Arabidopsis thaliana: one gene and its partner. The protein of the gene in region 1 interacts with the protein of each later gene in a biochemical or structural test. Each region holds a gene or a part of one and is shown on either strand. Other genes may lie near its edges. The genes, in order: NRPE3B and NRPB11.

The links.
Region 2: the proteins of NRPE3B (region 1) and NRPB11 form a complex in vitro, tested with the Arabidopsis thaliana proteins (one study listed by BioGRID).

What each region holds. Positions count from the first base shown.
Region 1 is NC_003071.7:6,710,987-6,714,915, forward strand, and holds NRPE3B (DNA-directed RNA polymerase family protein), read left to right. Parts: upstream 1-1,908; 5' UTR 1,909-2,035; coding exon 2,036-2,484; intron 2,485-2,673; coding exon 2,674-2,911; coding exon of another isoform or gene 2,912-2,932; exon of another isoform or gene 2,933-3,127; coding exon 3,128-3,400; 3' UTR 3,401-3,623; downstream 3,624-3,929. Other genes in the region: FUT4 (fucosyltransferase 4), read right to left, coding at 1-58. UniProt on the Arabidopsis thaliana protein: DNA-dependent RNA polymerase catalyzes the transcription of DNA into RNA using the four ribonucleoside triphosphates as substrates.
Region 2 is NC_003074.8:19,317,509-19,321,437, reverse strand, and holds NRPB11 (DNA-directed RNA polymerase, RBP11-like protein), read left to right. Parts: upstream 1-2,314; 5' UTR 2,315-2,439; coding exon 2,440-2,492; intron 2,493-2,573; coding exon 2,574-2,663; intron 2,664-2,752; coding exon 2,753-2,831; intron 2,832-2,937; coding exon 2,938-3,027; intron 3,028-3,115; coding exon 3,116-3,211; intron 3,212-3,336; coding exon 3,337-3,369; 3' UTR 3,370-3,589; downstream 3,590-3,929. Other genes in the region: AT3G52100 (RING/FYVE/PHD-type zinc finger family protein), read right to left, coding at 20-98, 205-287, 499-577, 661-749, 830-922, 1,033-1,082, 1,161-1,335, 1,477-1,530 and 2 more; chx28 (cation/hydrogen exchanger 28), read right to left, coding at 3,703-3,929.

The DNA of each region.
Region 1 (3,929 bases):
TCGTCTTCAATCCCAAACCCTTGATAACTTCGCCGGAGATCTGAAATATATGATACATGTTGACTTTTAGTTTGTGAAGATGATTCAAAAAGAGTTTACAACGCTTATATAACTTGATTACAACTTTTAATGTCAATCACTGATCAATAAGATAAAACTTTGAATATTCTAATGTGTCATTGTTAAGTTGTGACTATCAACGAACTCCAAACGTGACTCTATTTTGTTTAATAGAAGAAAAGTCTTTAAACTCCAAATTGTGATTTTGTATTATATAATATTCAGAATTATCGAAGAAACTTCCTATGGGAGAGCTCTTGTGAATTATTAACAATTTGGAATCCAAACAACTAGGATTTGTCAGGCACGTTGTGAAGACCATGACATTGATGTATTGAAATATGCAATAATTTGTAATTACATAAATATTGAGATCTGTTTGACATGCCCAATCAAAACATACAATCATGTCAATAATTAAGTGATCCCAAATTGTTTAAACGATTTACCTTAGTGATCAAAGTCCTAAACTCGTTTAAAAAACTAATGGTCAAAAGATTCCTAAAAAATTGCAAGTAGGCCACGAAACATAGAGAAAGTGATATGAACTTTAAGTTTCTAACAATACACCAATAAAATTATGGTCCAGATTTTGATCTATATGTAATAGGTTCATGAACTTAGTTTTAAAAGTCACAAACGGTATACGTAGATTATTGTTAACATGAACGACTAACAACGACATAACACGCGCAATTCATATGACTCTAGATGTTACCCTTGATATTCACATGCATGTAAAACTCTCAATATGCTATTTGAAAGTCTCCGGGGGTTGCCACGTCATCACATCGCTCCAAAGGCCCCATTTGTTTTTTCATTTTTTTTTCCTTTATTAAATGTTTTTCTCATCGACCAATCGTCCTCTGACTTTTTTTATTTTGACGAGGGAAATGTATTCAGATTCGAGCGGAACCGCGGTTGGCCCGGTAAACCCGATGACTCAGTCACTAATCCAGTTTGGCTCCAACACTACAATCCGCTAATTTTCAATCAGGTAAATTTTGAAAATCTCTAATAAATTCCGGTAATGGTATAACCCGCGATATGGTACTACTAGTTGAAACCGTCGTGCTTAAAAATGTTGATTAAAATTCAACTTTTTTTTTTTGGCTAAACTGCAAATATCATATATATGAAAAGGATGGTTTTACAAGGAAGTTAAACCCGGAATTGGTTTCTTGGCAAAATAAAAATAAAAAAGGAAAGCAATATTAGAATTTTGGACCAGACATGATCAGTGCACTTAAAGCCCCAAAACCCACTAAAATTCTATTTTTAAAAATAATTTATATTTTCTGTTGGATAAAATATATTATATGTAATCTTTTAGATTTAGGTCAAGATTTAATTGTGTCAATGAAAATAAGCGGAATAATTATGAAAATAAGCGGAATAATGATGAGTACAACTTGTACATTGTCCGAAACCATTCACATAATTACCATTAAAATTAATTATGTAAAAAAATTTTAATTGTAATTAGAAAGAATAATTTTGGAAAAACACTATATAAAGATTAAAACAACAAATTTACCATTATTCTTTATGAACCAATGCATTTTTAATCCTTTTTACTCTTTATATAATGTTTTTAATCCAAGTTACTGTTAAAAATATGGAATTTCGATTCTTTTTAATATTTGTATTTCCAAAATTATTATTATGTAATTCAAATTATAAAGATTAAAAAGTCTTAAAATAACATTGGGTCATTATTTGAATTGATGTAAACAGAAAATCCATTGTAGACATTTTGACCATTCCCAATAACTGTTATGAGAAGCCTGAAAATGCCCAGTAAACAAAAGAATAGGCCCATATAGGCCCAACTTAAACTACTATAGTTCTTCTTATACCTTTTTCCACTCTCACTCACTTTGCTCTCTCCAAATTTCTTCTTCTTCTCCGGCGAAGAAATCGAAAAGTCATTACCCTAAGAGTCCCAGAGTCGTCAGAAGGAACAGCTTTTGAAATGGACGGTGTCACCTACCAAAGATTCCCAACGGTGAAGATCCGTGAGCTTAAAGATGACTACGCCAAGTTCGAGCTTCGTGAAACCGACGTTTCAATGGCCAACGCTCTCCGTCGCGTAATGATCTCCGAAGTCCCCACCATGGCAATCCATCTCGTCAAAATCGAGGTTAATTCCTCTGTTCTCAACGACGAGTTCATTGCTCAACGACTTAGTCTCATCCCTCTCACTAGCGAGCGTGCTATGAGCATGCGGTTCTGTCAAGATTGTGAAGATTGTAATGGAGATGAACATTGCGAGTTCTGCTCTGTTGAGTTTCCCCTTAGTGCTAAGTGTGTTACTGACCAAACCCTAGATGTTACTAGTAGGGATCTCTACAGTGCTGATCCTACTGTTACTCCTGTTGATTTCACTAGTAACTCATCTACTTCTGATTCAAGCGAGCACAAGTAAGTCCCTTTTCATCATTGTAGTGATTATTTGTTCTTTATGAATTGATTGGAATTGCTAAGCTTAGATATTACACAATGCTAAACAAAATTTGACATCTTTAGATGCCCTTTGCATGAGTCTTCCTTTTGGTAGTTCTGTGGCTTTTTTTTCTGCAGTTTCTTAGACTGTTATTGTTTTGGTTTCAGGGGAATTATCATTGCGAAACTACGCAGGGGACAAGAGTTGAAGCTTAAAGCATTAGCTAGGAAAGGAATTGGGAAAGATCATGCGAAATGGTCTCCTGCAGCTACTGTTACGTATATGTATGAGCCTGACATTATTATCAATGAAGAGATGATGAACACTTTGACAGATGAGGAAAAAATTGACTTGATTGAGAGCAGTCCTACCAAAGTGTTTGGCATTGACCCAGTCACCGGACAGGTTAATTTCGATGTTCTGTAAGAATAACATCTATACAAGTTTATAGCTTTGAGACTTCAATATGATTGTACTACTTTATAGGCTACCATGCTTTGAAATATATGTATGTGATGTGGTGTATGAATTTTCTTTAAGTGTTTAGTGCGTTTAGCTCATTTCTTTTGCAGTCTATTGTTTGAATCATCACAACTGTAATTATAATACTTTGCTTCTTAGGTTGTGGTGGTTGATCCTGAAGCATACACTTACGATGAAGAAGTGATCAAGAAAGCTGAAGCAATGGGGAAACCGGGACTCATTGAGATCCATCCGAAACATGATAGTTTTGTATTCACTGTTGAGTCCACAGGTGCATTGAAGGCTTCTCAGCTGGTACTAAATGCCATTGATATCCTGAAGCAGAAGCTTGATGCAATCCGTCTCTCAGATAACACTGTAGAAGCCGATGATCAGTTTGGTGAACTCGGTGCCCATATGCGTGAAGGATGAAATCGTAGCTCTTTTTTTACCTGTTTGATCAGGGTTTAAGTTTCTTCTAGACCAGACTAATATATTAACCGTAGCGGCACTGCCTTGTTTGATAGCAACATGTAAAGTGGCAGTCTTGTCTTTGTTCCCGACCTCTGACTGATCCTTGTGTTCCTGAACCTTGTTATGTTGGGTTATTTTTAGTCGTTGAACTCTCTCGTAATTGGCGTTTTTTTTGTTGTCATTGTTAAGAATGGGTTAGTTAATATAGGAAAAAAGATTTTAATTGATATTAATTAAGGTAAAAACAAAATATTAAACTAATATTGAAAAGTTTAATATTATATTAGTGAGATACTCTAACAAAACCAAGTTAATATTTTTCTATTAATTTATCTAAAAAAATAATATATATCCACATGTTAGATATATATATGTATACTTAAAAAAAAAATGTGAGTGGATGAAAAATATTTGTTTCTTCTTAATGCTGATACCTAGGAGTGTCAAAATGGGTAACCCAACTCAACTCAACTCATAATCAAATGAG
Region 2 (3,929 bases), on another chromosome or scaffold:
AAGGACCCATGAAACACACCTGGTAGGATTCCCCACGACAAGTAGAACATTTGTATTGAAGATTCCCATCCACTTGAAACTGCATATATTTCTCATCGCTGCGATGGTAGCTTACAAAGTTAGCGTTATTTTAAAGTATTTGGATACACACTTGGGAGACATGCTTACAGGACACAGAAGTACAATTTCATTAACGATATGTACCTAATTCCATCACACTGGCAATGAACCCAGCGCTGGCAAAAGTCACAACACACCATTGGCGTTGCTTCCGAGTCCCTGTAAACCTACGTGATGAAATCAAAATAATTTGTCAATTCAAAGAATGTAAGAAAATTCTGCAAATAACTGCTTTTGCAATACAGATGTCTGGATAGTATAGGGTAACAACTCCAAAATACATAACTCTATTAATTATGGCCAAGAATATCTAAATATGATGCTTGGAAACAGAGCGCACGTTTTCCTATCACCGAGGAGGAGAATATGTAAATATACCTTCAAACATACAGGACAATAATTCCCCTTAACAAACAACCTTCCACAAGCATCACAACAAGTATGCCCCAAAAACCACCTGCAAAGTTTAGAAGGAATAATAAGAGATAGTGCACTTTACATGAATAAATTTCAAGTATCACAAGGCAAAAAGTTAAATACCGTAAGCTCTGGCCATTCCCAGGGACTGTAGACTCACAACTGTAACATTTGGTGTGCTTAGGACACAAATAGGGTCCAGAACTAACATTCTGTAATATTCAGAGATTAAAATAAACCAATTTGCAAAAGATAAGATAAGAACCTTATACAGACGCAATAAATACTATACCTTGTGCCGAGGATGTTGGCAATCACAATGATATGCATCATCACATCTTTTGCAGAACATAAACTTTTTTGGATCCCCTAAAGTCCCGCAGCCCTAAAGGAAAAATGATCAAAAGAATACAAATAATCAAGCAGCAGTCATACCTAGCCCAGCATGTAAAGAGCAAGAATAATCATTGAGCACAAAGTTGTGTCCGAACATACCTCACAGATTCGGCAAGATGGGCACGCCCAAGAGCTCCAATTAAAAAGATCTGCTAGCAAAAACCGGTATAAGAATCTAGGCAGAAAGACTCATAAGTCATAAACAATAGATTCCTATGAAACAATACCTCTATGTTGGGCCCAAGACTTCACGCAGTTTCTATGATACTTCTTCCCACAACATTTGCAAGAAAGCATCTTGGCTCTCTCACTCTTCCCAACTTCAACCAAATAGCACATGTGACATGTTATGCTTGCACTGTGATGATCATGATCTTCTTCATTGAGGTCTTTGACTGAAACCTACATAGAGAAAGACATAACATTGAATTAGTGTCTTGACGAGAATAGACTTCATAATCATCCAAAAAATCACAAGTAGTTTACATATAAATCATAGATTACAGAACCCGAAAAGACAGGACAACACCAAAACACATACACGAGATACAGATAATCAACATCACTGAAAACACGTTTTCTCACAAAGACAGATTCCTATAAACAAGTTCAATTCAATTGACATAGCAGTAACCCCTAACCACAAAAACAAGTTTCGCAAGTAAGAATTCGAACCTCTAAGTCGCCAGAACAATCATTCGCAGCATAAACTTCCACAGCCTTCTTCTGCAACACCAAGGTGCGTTTAGCTGGTACCAAATTCGATGATGCAGCAACAACCTCCATCGCCGAATCACTCCCAACACCAACATTTCTAGCCGCAATGCGAGGACCAGTATCGAAAACAGCAAGCTTAGGCACATGGATCTGAACGGTACCGTCCTTGGAAACCTCAGCATCCCAGGGGTTTCGCACGAACTCCTGAAGAGAATGGATCTCTTTGAGATACACATCCTTGACTTCATTACCATGAAGATTCCGAGAAAACCCCAAAACGCAGAAGCAAATTTTCCGGCTGCGGAGAAAGAACGAAAGAAAGAAGAAAACCCCCAAATTAGAACAATTCGATTAGTAAAAACAAACAAGCCAACGAGTAAAGGAGGCGCCAAAAGAAAGAAAAAAAAACATACCATGTAATTGGACAAGCTACGTGAAAGGCCATAGTCGGTTTTCAAGTTTTACGCTTTCGGGTTCGATTTTTAGGGATCTGACTTCTTTTCTTTTTTTCCTGAATTTTTTGTTAGGTTTCTGAATTAAATCACTCGTCCTTTATTGTGTAAATAATATAAACCTAGAGGTCCTTAAACGGAAATATTATGTTTTATCGGCCCGATCCGACCCAAACTGTATACACCAATAATAATATAACACGTGGAGATTCGATCTTTTTTCTTTTATGAAAAACGACGTCGTATTATATTTTGTTTGCCAGAAAGAAACTGAAGAACTCTTGACTGTCTCTCTGCGGCGAAAAAGAGAGCGAAGCTTGAAATCTCCGATTAAGCCATGAATGCTCCCGAACGATATGAGCGATTCGTCGTCCCTGAAGGCACCAAGAAGTAATTGAAGTTTCTATCACTCGAAATCATACTCGATAGTCCTCTTACATGTGCTAAACCCTCTCGATTTCTATGTTCTAGGGTTTCTTATGATAGGGATACGAAGATCATCAATGCTGCTTCCTTCACGGTTGAGAGAGAAGACCATACGATTGGAAACATTGTCCGCATGTACGTCTTTTTGTTGATTTTGCAACTCTTTTCTCAGAAAGAAGAAAGCCCTAATTTTTGTCAGCTCTGTTCTGAAATTTTTGTTTTAGGCAACTTCATCGCGACGAGAATGTCTTGTTTGCTGGATACCAACTTCCTCATCCTCTTAAGTACAAAATCATAGTGAGGGTAAGTTCCAAGTTTTTCAGTTGCTTCTACTGTAGAGCCTGTTGCTTTGAATTGGAAAGAACAATGCTATCCTCTGCGTTTTTTTCAGTTCATTGATTGACCTTAGGATCCAAAAGATTGGTTTAGGAACTTAAAAGTAGTGTATGGTTGTTTGGAAACCGTGAATATTTCTTGGTTTAAGCTTCTAGTGTTAACAGTTTCCTCTGGGATTACTGGTTGCTTAAGGACTTATAGAAAGATCTTGTATGTTGTTGTTTAATTGTGAAAGTGGTTTCTGTATGTAGATTCACACAACAAGCCAGTCTTCCCCAATGCAAGCATACAACCAGGCCATCAATGACTTGGACAAGGAGCTCGACTACTTGAAGAACCAGTTTGAGGTACATAAGTTTCTCTCTTCGGATATACTTATCTGATTATGTGGTTAATAAGCTAGACGAATATCAAATGCTATTGATGTTGTTTGATGTACCTGGTCTTATGGTATACCCTTCTGTGTTTTCAGGCAGAGGTGGCCAAGTTTTCGAATCAGTTTTAAGGAACTTGGAGTTCTCCATCAGCACATCGGGGAAAACGTTTTACATTGTCTTTTGCTAAGCACCAATCAAGACTAATAATGAGCTTGGGAAATTTTCCCTAGTTATGCTTTGTATAAATCAAAAACAAATCGGCCTGTAACTTCTTTTAACTCTATGTTTCAACACCATTTCAGGATGCTATGAAGTAATGCTTAGATTACCTCTTCTTTTTACCATTCTATCTACATAAACCGCTTAATGTTTGAACTATTGTACAAAGTCTCTTTAAGAGTTGTGATGGTGAAGCTACTACTCTTCCCAAGCTACTAAGTAAAGTGCATTTGTACAGATATTCACAGTATAGTGAAGTCATCATGAAGCCCTTCTAGCTGACCCCGAGTACGCTGCTGCTGAATAATTAACATTGATGTGTTGTGTGAGAAATCTGATCCTGAAAGAACGTCACCTATGGGACCAAGCTCTGGACATTGCTGCCAGTCGTTGAGGCCGGTGGTTAACCCACTGCTCGCTCTTCCCCCTCCTCTTCCTACAATCACCAGCCCATACTCTCCATCTAGTG